Linked DNA regions of Macaca mulatta. The protein of the gene in region 1 purifies or fractionates together with the protein of each later gene. This does not show direct contact. Links are inferred from orthologs where the notes say so. Each region holds a gene or a part of one and is shown on either strand. Other genes may lie near its edges. The genes, in order: FIP1L1, P4HA2, CPSF2, CSTF2T and CPSF3.

Region 1 (3,584 bases):
TTACCAGTATCATAGAGATAAACAGTATGCCACTTCCTTACCGTTTTTTTTAAAGAAAACAAAAAAGTCTCCAATTCTGTTGATAAAGATTAGAGTATTATCTACAATGAGAGCTTAATCTGTTGCCACTAACTTTTCTATCCTACAAACACGTATTACAACTCAAAATGAAATCACAACATATAGCAAAGAACAGTTTTACTTGGCATTTGTTAGTATAATAGGCTATAAATTCACATGCTTGCAAAAGTGGAGATAAAACAACAATCAGCAAATTTGTAAGTCACCAGGAAGCTGAAGGTTTGGAAAAAAGGTAGCTATTTCCACTTTAATCTTGTCCCTTGAGTAGTGGTATGGGAGCAGACTCAAGAACAAAAAATGAGAGCAACCAAGGATAATTTACTAAAATTCACCTTAAAAAGATTGAATCTGCCATCTTGGATCTCTGCACCTGGTGTAACTTCCATAGTACAGTCTTCGGCCTAAGTTAAATAACATATTCCCCATTAAGATACCACATAATATTTAATTAATAGGCCATATAAAGACAAACTAGCTGTGGCTAGTCTGTGATTTGAAAGTAAGAACATCAGATAATCATTAATACAAAACTCTAAAAGGGAGGGAAGGGAAAAACAAACATGGTAAACAAAATGGAATTTTTAAACTATCGTATATCATTTAACCACTTTTATAGGGAAGTGATTTATTTGGGGAGTAAAAGTGGGACGGTAGACAAGCCAAGGGTATTCCGGAGTATTTCTTAATTACCGTAATTTTATTTGTAGTAGAAGTTACTGGTATAACTTCAAGTCCCATTCGTATCCTTTTTTGTTTTTCACAGTAAGCTTTCCAGGTATCTTCATTAAACCCATAATTAAAATAATCAGAAAGATCAGCACCTAAAGATAAAACACATCTTTAGTGTACAAATATTTCAGCTCTATTTTTATGCAGCATCAAAAATATACTAAACTATAAAAATATAAATTTAGACTTCTATCAGTTATCACTCTATCATTTATGGTGGCAAAAAGACCATAAAATTTTTGATCAAATTATTTCCTTTAGAAATGTCATTATAATAAAGTCTACATTTTAAGTAATATGAGGCCGCCAGTAAGATTTAATAATCCAAGTCACTATTACTCATCATTTGCTTAAGACAATTAAAATTATAATGAAAAAATAAAATTCTAAATTGATGCTCAAAAAATTTTCTGATGACTTCACACTAAAAATATTGAAATTAATATAATCCACAACAGTCTTACCAGGTTTACGCCATGGTTTATCTTCAAAAGAATCCAAATCTACCTCTAAAAGTGGAACTCCATTAATGCTTCCAGGTGCATCAAGGTCTACTCCTTTGACTTTTGTTCCTGTTTTATAAAATTACAAAATGAAGGAGCTACACTTGCAAGAAGCTGGGACATACCATAGACAAACAGAAGATATAAACACCTTTTTACTATTCCTGGCACACATACACACACAAACAGAAAACAAACATTTTTTTACTATCCCTGGCAAAAAACCTGGCAAGCATTCCAAACAAAGCAGAGCCTAAAATATGTGCTACTGGACTATTTACAGAAAAAATTTACCAGTCCCTGTGATGTATGGTCAAAAATTACCTTTAAAAAGAGCTATTATATTATCACCTTGGCCAGGCGCAGCAGCGCACACTTGGAATCCCAACAGTCTGGGAGGCCAAGGCAGGCAGATCACTTAAGCTCAAAAGTTCAAAACCAGCCTGAACAACATGGCGAGACCCGGTCTCTACATAAAAACACAAAAATTGGCCAAGCATGGTGGTGCACGCCCACAGTCCCAGCTATTTGAGAAGGTGAAGTGGGAGGATGGTTTGAGCCTGGAAGATGGAGGGTGCAGTGAACTAAGATTGCGCCACTGTACTCCAGTCTGGGTGACAAAGTCAGACTCTGTGTCCCACTAAAAAAAGAGTGATTAAGACCTATTTAAGATATGTGCCTTATTTCTCTACTGATGCAACAGAAAATACAAACTTTACCTGTAGTTCCATAAACTCTTCCTCCTGTCTTGATGTTAAGATTTACAGGTGCTGTACCATAACTCCTAAAAACAAACAAAAAACCAAAAATTATCCTGAAAAGCTTAAACAAAGCAGTAATATTTCTATTTTTATTTTTCTATTTTTTATAATTTCTATTTTTATTTTTTAAATTTTGGATAGATGAGATCTCACAGCATGTCATCCAGGCTGGTCTCGAACTCCTGAGCTCAAGCAATCCTCCCGCCTTGGCTTCCCAAAATGCTGAGATTACAAGAGTGAGTCACCGTGCCCAGCTAATACACATTTTAAAAAACATTTTAAACTAGTTTCTAAAGTCACCTGCTCAATAAAAGGCAAAAACATTAAAAAAAAAACTGACTTGTTTCCATTTCAAAAATCTCTTTGCCACTAACTCAACATTCTACTGTAACAAACTTCACAAGAAATAAGGCTAAGAAGGGAAACATAGTTTATACCCCTTTTCTTCATTTCCTTGCCTGCCAGTTATTACACATACAGCAATCTTAAGCATAAGTAAAATTCCTCCAACTTGTTGTTAAATCCAGTGGCCTTTCAGTTCTTACCACAGTTGATATTGTTAATAAATCCTTTTTCAACCATTCATGGAGTTCATAATAGAAATTTATTGTCATGAAATTCAAAAATAAGTCTAGCATGAAAGCAGAACAGTGTTTACCGGTGGTGGGTGGTTAATGACCAAGAGGAAAAATGAGAGAAACTTCTAGGATGCCAATTATGTTTCGTATCTTGATCTGGTTGTAGTTACATGAATGCATATATTTGAAAAAAGTATTAAGCTGCACCTTTTTAGATGTAATATAATACACAGTGATAAAGAAAAAAATTTCTGAAGTTGGACCAATCCACATTCAAATGTTTTGTCAGTTGTTAGTGTAATCTTGGCCAAGACATCTAAGACTCGTATATAATTATTTGAATATTTCATTGCATTTATACTTGTATAAATGAGCCTCATATAAATTTTCTGTAAGGGGTTACAGATAGTTCTTTACTTTTTTTATATAATGGATTCTTATATATGCGTAGTATTATCAAATATACTAATTAAAATAGACTTTTCTGTTACTAGGGAAATTAGAAGAAAACAGGAATGGGCAAAGAAGGACCAACTCCCACTGAACAAAAAGATATCAGTAAGACGGCAGGCGATGGCTCACACCTGTAATCCCAGCACTTTGGGAGGCTGAGACGGGCAAATCACGAGGTCAGGAGATCGAGACCATCCTGGCTAATACGGTGAAACCCCCCCTCTACTAAAAAATAGAAAAAATTAGCCAGGCGTGGTGGCGGGCACCTGTAGTCCCAGCTACTCAGGAGGCTGAGGCAGGGCAATGGCATGAACCCAGGAGGCAGAGCTTGCAGTGAGCCGAGAACACGCCACTGCACTCCAGCCTGGGCCACAGAGCGAGACTCCGTCTCAAAAAAAAAAAGATACCAGTAAGACCTCAAGTCATAGGTATTTTCAATGATATATTTCTCACATTACATTCATGTGGCATATTTGGTT
Region 2 (3,584 bases), on another chromosome or scaffold:
ATTTCTTAAGTTTAGTCCCAGGTAGTTTCTTTGTTACTGTTAATTTACTTTATTTCTTCATTAGTATTTTAACTGGTTACATTATTATATTAGTTTACTATTCTATGCCAAACTGTTGATTTTAAAAATATATTTCATAGTAAGAGCTAATGTTTACTGAGTTCTTAACTGTGGCAGGAACTTCTAAATGCTTAACATATATATTAACTATGTCACAGTTATGAACAGCTGCTCATAACGGTGTCACTGTCTCTGTTTTGCCTATGAAAAAGCAAACTTATGCAGATTGCAGCTAGTGGTTGAATTTACTTATTCCTTTTTTGGTTTTTAGCTGATTCTCTTTGGTTTCCTGGATAGCATTAACACCTGGAAATAAGGAAAATTTTATTTTCTCATAATACTTGTAGTTCCTTTGTTTTTATAATCTTATTGAATCGCCCAGAACTTCTAGAGCATAATTACGAAGAATAGGAATCCTTGTCTCATTCCTGAACTTCCTGGGAATTCCTATGGTATTTTACTGCCAAGTATGCAGTTGGCTGTTGGTTTTGTTTTACGATTATTCTTCTGTTTCTAGTTCATAAAAGATTTGCTCCCCATTTGACATCTTTCAAAGAGATCTACTTGCTGCCATACCCCATCACTGATGATTGGGAGGGAGGATTTAGCTGGATTCTCTATTGCTCTGCTCCTAATAGAATTGTAGTGGCTGAGGTGACCAGGAGGCCTGACGCTCATGGAGAGACCTGAAATAGGTTCCTATCCTGGCCCCTGGACCTCATCTTAGAACACCTTGGCTTGAGGTACTAGGACATCTAGGGCTTTGAGTCAGTGGTTGGCATCATCAATGTGCCTGAGGGAGGGGGCTAGCCAGATGTATGGAGAATGGGGACTAGGACTCCCCTTACTACTCAGCTCCAGAGTCCTCCAGGAAAGAAAACTACTTTGCTGGTTGTGCCAGGATTTCCTGGGAGATTTCTTACCTGTTCTTCAGTTCCAGACACTGAGAACATTTCTGTGTGCATGTGTGCATGTGTGCATATATGTGTGGCTGGCCAAGGGGTAGTATTGGGAAAACATGTATTTGAATAGAAGCCATGTGAAGAGCCAAACAAGGATGGCAAACATGTTTGGCTCTTCACATGGCTTCTATTCAAAGATAAGCTGACCCCTCCTTTCTGGAGACTGTGAGAGACAGATGCTAGTCTGGCTTTGAAGTAGAGCCAATGAGCTTAATTTGGCCTGTGGGGAATGCCTGGCAGCTGTCTATGGGGTCTCTGGCCTGCTTTCAAAATAGCCCTGTGTTTCCCCTGGGGCAGAGCACAGCTGCTCAGAGCCTCTTTGTGGGTGTCAGGCCAATGCTGAGGCACAGATGTTTGGATGGGGTCTGGTTGTGGCTGCAGTTTTCAGGGAAGGACTGACATACGCTGGAGCTCAGGAAGGGCCGTGAGTAGGAGTTTGGGAGCCGTCTGTCCTGCTTGCGCTGGCCATCTTACCAGATCATGCTATAGCAGCACAGTGTCTAGGTTGGTCCATCTCACCCGCTTACTAGCCTTCTGGTCCATTTACTCCTCTCCATTCCGTCTGCCACCACCTGGCCTGGGCCACCATCATCTCTTGCGCTGACCTCTGCCGTGGCCTCACTAGCCTCCCAGTCCCCACTCTGGCCCCTTATTAGTCAACTCTCCATGAGTTATTCACAGTGATCCATTTTACATTCAAATTTTGAGTGTCCCTCCCCTGCATGAAGCCTTCCCCATTTCTCGTTGGCCACAAGGTTGCATCTAGTCCCTAGCTCCTGCGTGTCTCTTCAGCCTATTTTACTACTTCCCTTAACCTTTAATCCACACCTACTGCCACACCCATTTTCATTCCCAGGCCTCTGGATTGCTGCTCCTTCCCTGTTCCTGTAATGTTTCTCTACTTGGATAACTCATGTTAACCCTTCAGGCCTCAGCTAGGTGGTCTCCTCCCCTAGGAAGCTATTCTTGACACTATTCCCTGAGCTTCCACAGGACATTAAGTTCACCCATGCTGTGCTGCAGTTACCTGGCTGGTTTTCTGCTTTCCCCACTCGACTGAGTTGTAAGAGTGCAGGGGCCATGTCTCAGTTACCTAGCATAGTGCCAGGCACAAAGTAGGCACTCATCAATATTTATTAAAATCAAGGGGAAGTGTGTTGGGGTGGGAGTACCTGGGCCTGTGGCTGCACCCATGTGAGGTCATTAGGACAGTCCACAACTGAAGCACATGGACCTTTGCCATGTTGGCTGACTCTGGGCAGCGAGTCCCTCCTGGGGTTTCACTAAGCCTGTCTGTGGAGACTGGGGGAGTGAAGTAGATGAGGGGAGTGTGTTTGTAGTGTGTACATATGTGAGTGGGTGACTTCCAGGCAGTGGTTCACTTATTTTAACTCACAGAATCTTTTCCTGGTTTTATCATCTGACTTTTAAGGATCCCAAGGGAGTGAAAACTGTGCCATCTGTCTTTGCTTCTTGAGGCTGTGGGAACCCAGTGTGAGGTGGTACAGCAGGAGAGTGTTTGGATGGGTTTCTTGGCAGAGGAGCCCACTGAGGTTCAGAAGGATGGTGGAACTTGACCAAGTTGAGAGAAGTACGTAAGGCGGAGGCTCAGGGATAGTGGCACAGTCTGAATATGGTGGGAGTAGCTAAGCTCAGGCTGTGCTCAGGCAGGAGTGGTATGTGTGCCTGGCAAGGAAAGGGGCTAGCCAGGCAGATGCATGGATGGATGAAGCAGGCATAATTCTGCAGGCAATGCAGACCTGGGGAGGAGAAGGGATGAGCAGTGACCGAGCAGGGCAATAGCCAGGAACTGATTGCAGATTGGGAATGTGGAGGCCTCAGACTTTTGCCCTCACCTGGCCTGCAGCATCTTGGGGCCTTGGCTAGAGCCATTGGCTGCAAAGCTTCCTCCACTAGCATGACAGCAAATGTGGTCCCAGTGCTTTCTGGGAAAATACTCAAGGCAAAACAAACAAATCAAGTATTCCTTCTCCTCCTTCCTTCTAGCTTGCACGAGCCACTGTTCGTGATCCCAAGACAGGAGTCCTCACTGTCGCCAGCTATCGGGTTTCCAAAAGGTAAACAAAGAGCAGGGGTTGGTAGCTGCTCAAGTCTCAACTTCAGGACTTCTCAGTGCCTACCCTAGGAATGGGTGGCTTGCCTTTTCCTGCCTGCTGGCGACTCCTCACCCCTTGTTGCAGCAGGTACCCTGTACTGCCTGTTCGTGCTGGCCCTGACTCTGGGGACAGAGTGCAGGACCTCATGGAAGCCTGCCCTTCCATCTTCTTTTCTCTGCTCTTTTCTTTTTACCCAGCTCCTGGCTAGAGGAAGATGATGACCCTGTTGTGGCCCGAGTAAATCGTCGGATGCAGCACATCACAGGGTTAACAGTAAAGACTGCAGAATTGTTACAGGTACAGATAGTCCCTGGGACTGTAGGAGTTGGGAAGTGGGTATTTTTGGCTAGATGGTCTCACAAGGTGTCCAGAACTGGGCCAAAAGAGGCCCAACTGTATGACTACTGCCTGATGCTATGAATATGGAGTGATCTCATTTTAGGAA
Region 3 (4,231 bases), on another chromosome or scaffold:
GATTCTCACTCTGTGGCCCAGGCTGGAGTGCAGTGGTACAACTACAGCTCACTGCAACCTCTGCCTCCCAGGTTTAAGTGATTTTCTTGCCTCAGCCTTCCGAGTAGCTGGGACTACAGGCACGTGCCACCATGCCCGGCTAATTTTTGTATTTTTAAGTAGCGACGGGGTTTCACTGTTGGCCAGGCTGGTCTCGAACTCCTGACCTCTTCATCCGGTCACCTCGGGCTTCCAAAGTGCTGGGATTACAGGCGTGAGCCACCGCGCCTGGCCATACGTTTTTCTTTTAAAAGGCAAGGTCGGCCAGGTGTGCTGGCTCACGCCTGTAATACTAGCACTTTGGGAGGCTGAGGCGGTTGGATCACGAGATCAGGAGTTCGAGACCAGTCTGGCCAACATAGTGAAACCCCCGTCTCTACTAAATATACAAAAAATTAGTCGGGTGTGGTGGCGGGCGCCTGTAAACCTAGCTACTTGAGAGGCTGAGACGGGACAATCGCTTGAACCCGGGAGGCGGAGGTTGGAGTGAGCGGAGATTGCGCCATTGCACTCCAGCCTGGGTGACAAGAGTGAACCTCTGTCTCAAAAATAAAAATAAAAAAGCAAACCAAAAGGGTAAGCGCATCATTTTGGTGCAACGGTGTCGGCTCAAGAGGATTTGCGGTTTGGAAGAGAGCGAGGTTAGCGAGGAGACAGAAGGCTAGGACTTATATGAACGTAAGCTGCTTGGGGAGGGGAGGCAGCCAGCGTCTTCCCTGCTTCAGGCCAGGCATGGGATACCGGCTAGCGGGCGGTCACTGGGTCACATCTCTACGGACGTTTTCCTGTTATAACAGCCTCAGAAAACCCATTCCAAAAGCTCCGGCCCGGAAATCCCATCCTCCACCCGAAGAAAACTCCATTTTCCTTTCCCGTCACCTTCGCTCGGAAGCCCCGGGGAAGCTCAGACCACCCCTCCACACACGCACAGCACCGAGGGCCTGCCTAGAACCCTCCCCGTCACCCTCGCCGTGATCCGCGGCGCGGCGGCCCCCCAGGCTCCCCAGACCCACCTGCAGCCTCAGTGCCAACAGGGACCCCGAGACCAAGGGCAACTCAGCCACCCGCGCCAGTGGAAGCTGCGACCTCGGGACCTGCCATTCGCCGCGCCGGCACGGAGCAGAGGGGTGACGCCAGCAAATCATACTACTTCTTCCTCCTCAAGGTTGACTCCTTTTTTTTTTTTTTTAGCTTCCAAACATTATCAATAATTTCTGAATACAATTTCGCTACACTCAGACGAGGCGTGCAGGTATGAGCGCCGTCGCCTTCCCACAGCCCCGTGCCCACCCCCCCGGAGATGGTCTCGCCCTGGGTCCTCCTCGTTTACACCGCTCGCCTCCAGCTCCAAAATGGCGGCCGCCGCTGGGGGGGCTTCTGCCGGCCGGTAGTGCCCCGCGCTGCTAAGCCAGCATCGGCTTTTCCACCTCTTGAACCTGGATTCGCTTAGGGGTTGGGAAGGGCAGTGGACGGCGTTGGGGGAGGCCTGACGAGGCAAGTGAGGGCGGGAGAAAGGAGTAAGCCTCTGGCGGGGGAAGGCGGCGTCACTGGCCCTCCGGGAGCGCCGGGCCCCGACTCCGACCCGGTCTCCCCCAAGGACTCGCCCCTGCCGCTTCGGCTGCGACTGTCCCTGTCGTTCCTGGCAGAAGTGGTCAGCGAGGGAAAGAGAAGTGACTTCTCCATGGGTTTCAAGCTCCCAGCTGTTTTGCGGCAGCTCGTACGGTTCCCTCCCGGGATCTTCTTTCCTCCTTTCTGCTTCCCTCTGCTTACCCTTTCATCTCTTGGCGCTGGAGGAGTTAAGCCGACGCCAGCTTTAGCTGCTTAGCCTCGTGGCTACGGCGTTCTCAGCCTCCCCCGCTCGGGCTCTTCCCGTCGTTTTGGGTTGAGAGACCACGAGGTTACTAAGCTCTGGGCACCGCGTAGGCGTCCTTTTAGTTCATCGACTCCAGAGACCTTTAGGATGTTTGTACCACGCTGTACTAAAAGGGTCTCGGCCCTTCGCGCCCTCCCGCCATTGCCCCCCCAGCGCTTCCACTATCACTGTGAAGTTATAATTCTTTTTTGACTTCGTACTGTTTTACGTGCTCTTTAGAAAACAAGAGGTCAGACTGTAACCCCGGCAAGTCTGGCCTCCTGTGACCAGGCGAACCTGAGCTATCATTTATACCCATCCCCTAATTTTTAATTTTACAATCCCTTTAACCCCTTTTTTTCCTTTCTTTTTTCTTCTTCTTTTTTTTTTTTTTTTTAAATAGAGACGGGGTTTCACTATGTTGCCCAGGCTGGTGTCGAACTCCTGGGCTCAAGAGAACCTCCCATTTTGGCCTATGCTGGGATTACAGGCGTGAGCCACCATGCCCGGCCTTGCAGCCCCAGTATGAAATTGCTGCTTTCCCTCAACTGACAGGAAAGAGACTTCCCCACTCAGTGAGTTCCAGGGCTAACCCAAACTCCTCTGTTTTCCCTTGGATTTTGCTTAGTTCACCTTAGTTGTCATCAACATGCACGGTCATGATTTTTTATTTTTTATTTTTGAGAAGGAATCTCGCTCTGTTGCGCAGGCTGGAGTACAGTGTCACGATTCTCGAGGCACTGCCACCTCTGCCTCCCGGGTTCAAGTGATTCTCCTGCCTCAAGAGTCACGAGTAGCTAGGAGTACAGGCGCGCACCACCACGCCCGGCTAATTTTTGTAGTTTTAGTAGAGACAGGGTTTTACCTTGTTGGCCAGGATGATCCGCCCGCCTCGGCCTCCCAAAGTGCCGGGATTACAGGCGTGAGCCACCGCGCCCAGCTGATTTATTATTTGAGACGGGGTCTCGCTCTGTCCCCCAGGCTGGAGTGCAGTGGTGCCATCTCAGCTCACTGCAACTTCCGCCTCCCGGGCTCAAGCAATCCTCCCACCTCAGCCTCCCAAGTAGCTGGGGTCACCAGCGCAGCCACCGCGCCCGGCTACTTTTTTGCGTTTTTAGTAGAAATGGGGTTTTGCCATGTTGCCCAGGCTGGTCTGGAACTCCTGAGCTCAAGCGATCGGCCTTCCTCGGCCTCCCAAAGTGTTGAGATTACAGGCGCAAGCCACTGCGCCCGGCAACATGCACGATCATTATTGAGAGGGCAAGTAACTGTGAGATATTGGGTATTGGATATACAACGATGATCACTTTTACTCCTCTATACATTGAAAATCCATTCAAATACTTTATGTGCCCGCTTTATAACAAAATAACTTGGGTTAGGGCAACAAAAAGGCTTTATAAAGGAGTAAATATGTGAGTTGGGTCATGTAGCATCAAAAGGAATTTGCTGAGCTCAAAAGGAGAAGGTAATTTCGGGATTCAGTACAGGAATATAGAGCTTTGAGAAGCTTTAGCATACTTAGGGAGAGTGGGATAATCAACCTGCTTGAGCATTTAGTGCATGAGTGATTGGTGAAGCAAGAGGTAGGTTAAGATCAGCTTGTGAAGGATCTTGATTTCCAATAGGGAGTTTAGATTTTATTCAGTAGTTAGCAGGAATCCAGTGGATATTTTGTGCAAGGAGTGAGCAGGAGGGTATTTGTTTTTTTAGGATGGTCTCTGACAGCTATATAGAGGATCAACTGGGAACAGAAAAACTAGATGAAAGGAAATTGGCAATCATTCAGGTAAGGCAATGAGGGCCTCCATGGAGGCAGGACATAAAGGAGGTCAGAGAGACACTAAGTAAATGTCAAATGGGATTCACCTGCTGACTGCTAAGTTAATGGTAAGAAGGTGACTTGAGTTTTTATTCTGGGAGAATAAATGGTTGGCAATACTATTAAAACTTAGTCTGAGACATGCACACAAACATACGATGGTGCCAACCTGCACTTTAGGGGTGACAACACAATGCTCTATAGTGTAAAGCATTGATTTTTATGGTCTGGAGTCTAGATCTGCACTGTTATAGTAGTCACTAGCCACATGTAGCTACTGAGCACTTCAGATGTGGTTAGTCTAATTGAAATGTGCTGTAAATATAAAATACACAGTGGATTTTGAAGATTTAATATGAAAATGTAAAATATTCAACATTATATGTTGAAATAATATTTTGGTTCTACTGGGTTAAATAAAATACATTAAAATTCACCTGTTTCTTTTTCACTTTTCCATGTCACCACGAAGAAATTTAAACGTACATTTGTGGCATGCATTATATGTCTGTTGACAG
Region 4 (4,081 bases), on another chromosome or scaffold:
CTCCTTGATTTTTCAGGTAACACAACTTTAGAAAAAAACAATTCTAATACAAGTTTAACCTTATCCTGTTAACTCTAATATTTCAAAAATAATTCTAAAACACTAAGACAATGCTTATCCTATTGCCTCCAATAGGATTTTGTATTTTAAATGGTTTACCAAAAAATGTATCTTATACTTTTGGGTAAACTTTATTTTGTTATACAACCAAAAATCTTAAAACCATCTTAGTACATTAACGTTTTAACAGGTCAACTTTTAGTCTTTATGAGCAGTTTTCACAAAGTTTTACTCAACATTTAAAAAATGTAGTTAACATACTGTAGACACTTCAATATTGCTGCTTATTCTTTGTAATCTTATTTGGCATAATGTTGTCATGTTCAGAGTTATTTTACAGTAACTTAAAGTGAACAGACACACTCCCTCCTCCCCCCACCCTCAATTAAAAATAAAAAAGGAAAACAGAAAGAAAGAAAAAGAACAAAAAGTAAGATTAGGTTCTAGGAGGAGGGAAACCCTAATCCAAGTGTGGGGATGCAGAAGTCAGCTTTTTGCACCCATTCTCCATGCTACAGAATAAACTTTGAGACTACAGCCAAATATTTTCTAAAACCTTTCAAGAAGTTCCAGTGGATTTCTGGATTTGTTCCTTTAAAATCAGGATACTCTGCCTTTGCTCAGGGGGCAGCATGGCAATCTGATCTGCAGTTAGTTGAAGAACCTGCATGATCAAAGCCGCCTTTTCCTGATCCTGTGGAGTGACCTGGCTCTGCCCAGGACTAAAACTGCTAGGCTGGCTTCCACCTTGCTTGCTTGCCCCCTGTATGCCTCCTCCTTGTATACCCACTCCTTGTATGCCTGCCCCCTGCATCCCTCCTCCTTGTATGCCTGCCCCCTGCATGCCTGCTCCCTGCATGCCTGCTCCTTGTATGCCTGTACCCTGCATACCAGCTCCAGGATTCCCCACCCCTGAAATGCCGGGGACCTGTCTGGGTCCCTGAGGAGGGCCACCTGCCCCTATATTAATGGGACCAGGACCCTGAATTCCACCAGTCATAGGACCTCTTGTACTGGGGACAGGGCCCCTCATCTCCAATCCTCTTGCATCCATGCCTCTTGCTTCCATCCCTCTGGTTTCCATGGCACAGGTCTCCATTCCTCTCCTCTCCATTACACGTGTCTCTAAGACCTCAGTTTCCATGGCGCGAGTCTCCATCGCTCGAGAATCTCTACTACCTCTACCATCCATAGGTAGACCCCTTTGATCTATCATGGGGCCTCTGGGCTCTCCAATTAGCAGTCTGGGATCTCCTAATGGCCCTCCCCTCATCTCATGTGAGGAAGGGCCACGAGTGTCATGACCAGAGGCATGATGCATGGGGGGACCCTGATGGGGTGGACCCAGATAACCTCTGGGCTCCACTTCTCCAGTGACTGAAAGCAAAGTCCCTCCACGTGGGTCATTTGGAGCATCTCCTAACAGTCCTCGAGGAGGTAGACCACCAGGAGTCATGGGTCCACGAGGTATAGGAGCTCTAGGATCTGACATCTGCACTTGTCCCCGCTCTAAAGGCACTGGGCCAACCCCTGGCATTCCAAGTTGGGGCTGCATTGCTCCTCCAGGAGTTAAGGAACCAGGACCAGGTCCGGGAACTGCAGCTGGTATTGGCCCTGGAGCTGGAATTCCACCCTGGATAGGAGTCTGCATCAGAGGAGGAATGTCCTTCACAGGTCTTCTAGCCAAATGCTGAGGCTGAGGAGCTGGTGGATTCTGCTGGTTCAGCAGAACATTAGGTCCTGGGCAGAGCCCAGGGCCAGGGCCAGGACCAGGGCCAGGGCCAGGGCCAGAGACAGACACAGACTGAGATTTGCCTGGGATCAGTGGTGTGACATGTATCTTCCGATGAAGAATTTTCAGAGCAATCTCTGGATCCATGATTCTCATCACTACTTGCGCCTGCAACAGCGCATAAGCCAGTTGTGGATTTTGAAGTAACATGTTTCGAGCTTCCTGGTGGCTGTTTTGGACACAGAGCTTCATCTGCTTCATCAGCTCAAACATCTGCTCCGGGGGGAGACTGGCTACTGCTCTGGTAATCGATTCAGGGGCATCTTCTGGATCGATGGGATCCCCATAGGGTGAGTCAATAATGGGCGCTGCAGGCCCGAGGCTCTTTAACTCCTCCTTATTCTTTTCACTGGCAGCATTGTCCACCCGAAGCGCTCTGCCACTGAACTCCCGCCCATTGAGGTTCCGCATGGCACTAAGCGCGGTTTCCTGGTCTTGGTATTCGCAGAAGCCATAGCCCTTGGGTTTTCCCGTCTCTCTATCGTATACCAGCCGGAAACTGACAACAGAACCAACCTCCGAGAAAATGTCCTTTAACTGCTCCTCAGTTGCCTCATACGGAATGTTCCCCACGAACACGGAACGCAGTGATCGATCCATTGCCGGGTCTCTCACCGCCAAACTCGACATGATTCCGGTTGTGCACACTGCCGATAGCGGATTCTTCCAGGCGTCTGTCCTCTTGCGACCGACACTTCCGCTGAGCAACGGAAGCGGCTCTCAAGATCCGGGCAGAAACCTTACTAATTCGCTTGAATCGTTCTGCTTGCCTGTGGAACCTGCATCCCACTAACAAGTTATCTAATGCTTTAAGTCCCTGATCCTTCGTGGTTCTGTCAGCTTCTTATTACAGAGTCGCATGATTCCTTTCCCATTTCACCTTCCGCCGACTTTCTGTGGAGCCCCAACAGCCCCGCTACGACACCCTTGGTGCGAGATGACCACAGTAAAGATGGCCGCATAGACTTCACCATAGTAACTGGGAGGGGACTCCTCCCTTGACGTCAAAGGCGGTTTTGCTTCCGTTCCACCGGCGGGAAACCGCCAACCGAAAGCGGATTTAAGGCGGCATGTTTTTCGTTCTGACAAAGTATTTTCATGTGGCCTTTTATTATAGTATAGTTAAGCTAGATTTCAAATCACATTCCAGACTGAGGCAAAAGCGTAGTCGTTTCAAAGCACATTTGAGATTTGCCCCTTAAAGTAAAACAGTATTATATTTCCTTTTTAGAACAACGTTTTTGGAAATTAACTGACAAGAAATATAAACTGAAGCGTGTGCCTGCTGGACCCTGCCCCCGCTCTGTGGCTTCCTATAACCGCTGTTAATGGATGGGTGGCAGACCCTTCTAGGTTTTTTTGAGCACACGGGCAGCAGTCGTGCTATTCCTAATATTACGGTTTTCTTCCTTAATAATAACCGATTTCAGTATTAATTGGTGATTAAATAAATTAGTTATTAGCATTTTATGGCTTCAGAGTATGGAATAATGAAATTTACTTAACTATCCCTACATTGATTGGTTCTGATTTTTATTATATCATGCAGTGAATCCACCACTTCCATGAAGGGAAAAACAAATAGTGGTTGTCTTCTGCTGTTAGCTTTCCAGGCAGGAGTTAAAACATATTCACTGTGGGATTTCCTCGACTCCAATTCGAAGATAGAACTGAAACTTGGGGATGGCTAGGTAAATTCCCAAGGACAAGCAGCCGGAAAGAGGCAAAGTCAGGATTCTAACCCAGGTTGGTCTCGCATAGCTCCAGATCTACACTGCCTTACGCATATTGAATATTTGAAATGCAGCTAGTGTGATTGAGGAATTGAATTTTAAATTTCATTTTTTATTAATTTAAATATAAAAACTAATGTTCAGTAGGCTATTGGAAAACTTTTTTAGTATTTATGACAACTTGGGTATAAAATCTACTTTTGCAGTAATAAATTGTATTTTAAATAAAAATCATTTCACAGAACACTAAGATAAAACAAACAAACAAACAAAAAAAGAAATAAAAAGAAAGTACTTCCAGTCAAAATTTAACATTCCAGTTGAGGTATGCCATGCATGTAAGACACATGAAAGATTTTAATGATCAAATACCAAAAAATGTAAAAATAGCTCATCAATTTTATATTGTTTATAAGTTGAAATGTAATATTTTTGTATACTGGATTAAAAAATTATTTTGAAGTTAATGTTATTCATTTCACTTTTTAAAATGTGG
Region 5 (4,077 bases), on another chromosome or scaffold:
GGACACTAGGTATCTCTACTAGGATCTCTCCCGGGACTTCATATTCAATATGCCAAACTGGTTTCCACCACATGCCCCCTACTTGCTCTGCTTTCTTCCTGAAATGCTTTGTCTTCAGATATTGATGTGGTTGGCTCCTTTGTATCATTTGGGTCTCAGTTCCAATGTCACCTTCTCAGATGCTTTCTCTTGACTACCTCCTCTAATTTGCCCTTCACAGCAAGCCGCAACCCAGCATCATGTTATCTTAATACTTACAACTACATGAAGTTATTGTATCCACTTATGTCTTGCTTCAGGCTACTAAATGAAAGCTTCCTAAGAACAGAGGCATTGTCCACCTTATTCACTGCTGTATTGCTACGTAAATCACAAAAAATACTTATTGAATGAATAAAACTCCTCAATTTTGAACCTTGGAAAGATTACGCTAAATGAAAGATGCCAGAGACAAAAGACTATGTATTGTATGATCGCACTTCTGTGAAATGTCCACAACAGGCAAATCTGTAGAGAAGTAGATTAGTGGTTGCTAAGGTCTGGAGAGGTAGTGGGGATTGTCCATGACTGCTAATGAATACAAGGTATCTTTTGGGAGTGATGAAAATGTTCTGGAATGAGAGAGGGGTGATGGTTGTATAACTCTATGTTAAGAACGACTGAGAGTTGTATGGTATATAAATTGTGAGTTGTATAGTATGTAAACTGTATCTCAATAAAGCTGTTATGAAACAACCGAACTCCCAAATTTACTCCAGAGTTGCCCCACTTCCTACACTCCTAGAGTGAAGAACACTACCCTTTCCCAACTGCCAAACTTAGGAATCCGAGTCATCATAACATCCTCTCTGCCCTGCCTTCCCTCCCCACAACCACCCTTCCAGATACAGCTGATCAGCCACAAAATCCTGAAGATCTCATTTGCGTACTCTCTCACACTCATGTCACTCACTACAGGCTCTGATCACCTAGACTTGGAATCTTTCAATGATATCTTACTGAACCTGCTCTACTCAATCCATCCTTTTATTCAGCTGCTACACTGCTGCCAGGAGTGATTTTCCTAAAACATAATTCCTCACAATATCCATGCTTGCTTAACAGCCTTTGCTGGCTCCCTGTAATTGACTATCTGATAAAGGTCCAAACTCCTATGTATATGAGGTGCTTCCTAAACTGGACCTCAACAGCCTGTCGCTTCATCTGCTAACTCAACTCTTTAGCTACAGCCATGAGGAATCTGGCCACAAGTTGTGGCCACTCTCACTTTCACATGTGCCACTTCCACTGCCTAGAACACCCTGGGCCCCCCAGTCTTCAACTCCTACTCATTCTTGAGGACTCAGCTCAAGCATCACATTTTTCAGGATGCATGAGGTATCCTTTTTTCCTCAATCTGTCAGAAATCCCTTTTCCATACTTTCACAGTGCTCAGTGCAATGCCTACCTGCCCTCTTAGATTAGCTATTATTTACAAAGCACCTACCGCGATCTTTACTCTTCAAGTTTTATCTCATTTCCACATGAGAAAACAGGTTTAGTGAGGTTGTTGTCCTACTAAGTGGTCAAGTAGATAACGTACTTCAGGTCTGACTTCAAAGTAATGGTCTCCTATTATACCAAAGTATCTCTCCAATACTTCCCACTGTGCACTGTAATTCTCTCCATAAGGGCGAGAGCAATTAACTGGGCCCTCCTTTGCATCTGTATCCCCACGTGTGGTGCTTGACACTTGACACTTGCTAAAGAATTGAGTTAGCAGATCAAGCGACAGTGTTTGCTCATCACAGGAAGACATGACAGGTGTGATCTAAGCAGAAGGAAACGGACTATGTCCCAAGCAGGTGCTCAATGAAGCCTTACTGAACGAATGTGTAAAGGAGATACTTTCTACCTTTTGGAAAGCGTATATTCATGTTGTGCCAACTAACATCTAACAATAAACATGTTGTGGGTTCGAAATGCTCATCTGTAGGAATCCAAGTTCCTACATCTCCCCTTCAGCATCTTGCATCTCCCCTTCAGCAGCATTCCCGACTGATGAGGACCATGTCCACTGAAAGGCCACTCTCCTTACGGACAGTCGAGGGCTGAGTTTTTGTCCCTAACACCTCTGCACTTTCTCCTCTCCAGCTTTACACCTTCCTTATTCTACTAGGACCTGAGCTGAGAAGATCGAAACTCACGGCACGTCCCTAATATTTTCTAACTTCTGGCACATGTGAAGCCCTGGTGTTAGGAAACAGACTTAATTCTTCCCTGCACCGCTGTAGCCTCATTCAGGTCCTCCTCTCATCCTGTCGATCATAAGCGTCACCGGCTCTCTCACGGCTTGCCCTGACGCGCAGAGATCCGTGCTTGTGCTAAGTGAAAACGCTTTTTAGCGTGTACGAAAAGCGGCCGGTGGCCCCGGAAAACTTTTTTTTTTCCGACTCCAACATACCCTCCCCTGAAACTGATAAAGAAGCAAAATCCCGTTCACTCTAGCAGGCCCCTTCCAATCAGTGGTCCTCCAACCCCTCGAGCCTGAGAAGCCTGGCCCGCAAGCGCGGACCAAAGGCAGGCTGCCGGGGACGGTGGGAGCGCGGGCGACGGAGGAGGCCAAAGTCTCCGGTTATCCCTCGCACCCCTCACAGCCCTGGGCCTCATTCCCTCTCTCGCTGGTCTCTTACAGAGGTCGGATCAGCAGCTGGTCGCTCTCCTCAGCAGGAATCGCAGACATCCCGAAAGTGTGAGGGCGAAGCGGGGGCGGGGAACAGGTCGCCGGGGTCTTCCTAAATTGGAAGGTAAATAAAGAAAGAAGAACCCCATCCACCAAGAGCACAACTTCCGTCACTCCGGAGCCCGCGGCACTAGACTCCTCCCCTCGACTTCCGGTTGGGGGACGTCCCTTGCGAAGCTTCCCACCACTCGGGGTCCTGGAACCGGGGGCGGGACGTCAGGACTGCGCCTGCGCTTAGTCTCGGAGGCGGGGCCCGGCGGACGTGGGCAGGAGCGTTGGAAAAGCCGGCGCTGGAGCGGGAACGGGAGTAGCTGCCTGGGTGCCGGAGGCCGCGGCGCTCCCACGCGGACCCCGAAGCCCGCAACCGGAGGATGGGCCCGCGGCTGCGAGGTGAGCGCCCAGCCCTCGTCCCACTCGGGGCCGAGCTCGCGGAGGCCTGACGGGAACACGGCCCCGAGAGCGGCGCGGACGGCCGGGAAGGATGGGTGGGGCCGCAGGGAGGGCGGGGGAGGGATGCCTGGGCTCCGGCTGCGTTCTCTGCGGGTCCGCGCTCCCGGGGCGCGGGTGGAGGCGCCTGGAACCGCGGGTCGGGCGTGGGCGTTGTGGACTGTAGCTTCCGGAGCCGCTGCCAGCCGGGAGAGGAGGCAAGGCGGGCAGCGCGGGCCGTTTCCCTGCCTCTTCCTCTGCCTCGTTTCGGCCGCCTCCCGCCTCTCAGGGTCGGGGTTGTCTGTCCCCTTCGCTGTCACATCCTCCGCACCCAGTAGGTGGAAGGTGCTCCATCACGGTGACAGACAGGTGCCAAGCAGGCTGGCGTCTGGGAGGAACTTTGGAGCCGGCTCTCCCTAGGCCCTGAGCTTGGCCCCATCCGTCCTTACCCTGGTGACCCTGGGCAGGTCACTGACTCTTCGGGCGCTTTGGCATCCTCGTTTGAAAGGGGCTGTTATCCTTCAGGCTTGCTGGTCAGTGAGGGTGAGAGGGATCTGTGCACCTAGCACCGTGCATGGCACGTGGTAGGCGTTTGGTACTTGGGAATTGCTGTTGGGGTGTCACAGACACCCCAGAAAGTTCTCGGCTTCAGTAAGCGCGTCCCCTGCCAGGCGCCCTGGCTGTGCAGAGAGGAGTCCCTGAGCTCCGCCTTTGACCAGCGTGCAGCTGGGAGAGTGAGATCAGAGACCACAGCAGATCGTGGCGCTGTGATCAGGGGTACACTGAAGCTGTGGGTCCCTGAGCCCAGCCTTGAGATCCCAGGAAGGCCTGCAGCCTGAAAGGGACCTTGAAAGGTAAGAGGTAGCCAAGTGCCTGAAAGGTGAAGGGTGTCCCGGGCGCTGCAAAGCAGGGGCGACTGGAGCATCGCC

What was found.
Region 2: the proteins of FIP1L1 (region 1) and P4HA2 purify together in Homo sapiens (co-immunoprecipitation; 3 studies listed by BioGRID and IntAct, with this or other methods). This does not show direct contact. The link is inferred for Macaca mulatta from reciprocal best matches to the Homo sapiens genes FIP1L1 and P4HA2.
Region 3: the proteins of FIP1L1 (region 1) and CPSF2 purify together in Homo sapiens (affinity purification with mass spectrometry; 7 studies listed by BioGRID and IntAct, with this or other methods). This does not show direct contact. The link is inferred for Macaca mulatta from reciprocal best matches to the Homo sapiens genes FIP1L1 and CPSF2.
Region 4: the proteins of FIP1L1 (region 1) and CSTF2T purify together in Homo sapiens (co-immunoprecipitation; 3 studies listed by BioGRID and IntAct, with this or other methods). This does not show direct contact. The link is inferred for Macaca mulatta from reciprocal best matches to the Homo sapiens genes FIP1L1 and CSTF2T.
Region 5: the proteins of FIP1L1 (region 1) and CPSF3 purify together in Homo sapiens (affinity purification with mass spectrometry; 5 studies listed by BioGRID and IntAct, with this or other methods). This does not show direct contact. The link is inferred for Macaca mulatta from reciprocal best matches to the Homo sapiens genes FIP1L1 and CPSF3.

Annotation. Positions count from the first base shown.
Region 1 is NC_133410.1:80,109,835-80,113,418, forward strand, and holds part of FIP1L1 (pre-mRNA 3'-end-processing factor FIP1), read right to left. Parts: intron 2,098-3,584; coding exon 2,033-2,097; intron 1,383-2,032; coding exon 1,275-1,382; intron 903-1,274; coding exon 772-902; intron 483-771; coding exon 414-482; intron 1-413.
Region 2 is NC_133411.1:141,115,354-141,118,937, reverse strand, and holds part of P4HA2 (prolyl 4-hydroxylase subunit alpha-2 precursor), read left to right. Parts: intron 1-3,029; coding exon 3,030-3,100; intron 3,101-3,336; coding exon 3,337-3,436; intron 3,437-3,584. UniProt on the Homo sapiens protein: Catalyzes the post-translational formation of 4-hydroxyproline in -Xaa-Pro-Gly- sequences in collagens and other proteins.
Region 3 is NC_133412.1:165,367,704-165,371,934, forward strand, and holds the start of CPSF2 (cleavage and polyadenylation specificity factor subunit 2), read left to right. Parts: upstream 1-1,409; 5' UTR 1,410-1,533; exon of another isoform or gene 1,534-1,756; intron 1,757-4,231. UniProt on the Homo sapiens protein: Component of the cleavage and polyadenylation specificity factor (CPSF) complex that play a key role in pre-mRNA 3'-end formation, recognizing the AAUAAA signal sequence and interacting with poly(A) polymerase and other factors to bring about cleavage and poly(A) addition.
Region 4 is NC_133414.1:98,063,381-98,067,461, reverse strand, and holds CSTF2T (cleavage stimulation factor subunit 2 tau variant), read right to left. Parts: upstream 2,535-4,081; 5' UTR 2,483-2,534; coding exon 620-2,482; 3' UTR 507-619; downstream 1-506. UniProt on the Homo sapiens protein: May play a significant role in AAUAAA-independent mRNA polyadenylation in germ cells. Directly involved in the binding to pre-mRNAs.
Region 5 is NC_133418.1:115,401,158-115,405,234, forward strand, and holds the start of CPSF3 (cleavage and polyadenylation specificity factor subunit 3), read right to left. Parts: upstream 2,855-4,077; 5' UTR 2,723-2,854; coding exon 2,673-2,722; intron 1-2,672. UniProt on the Homo sapiens protein: Component of the cleavage and polyadenylation specificity factor (CPSF) complex that plays a key role in pre-mRNA 3'-end formation, recognizing the AAUAAA signal sequence and interacting with poly(A) polymerase and other factors to bring about cleavage and poly(A) addition.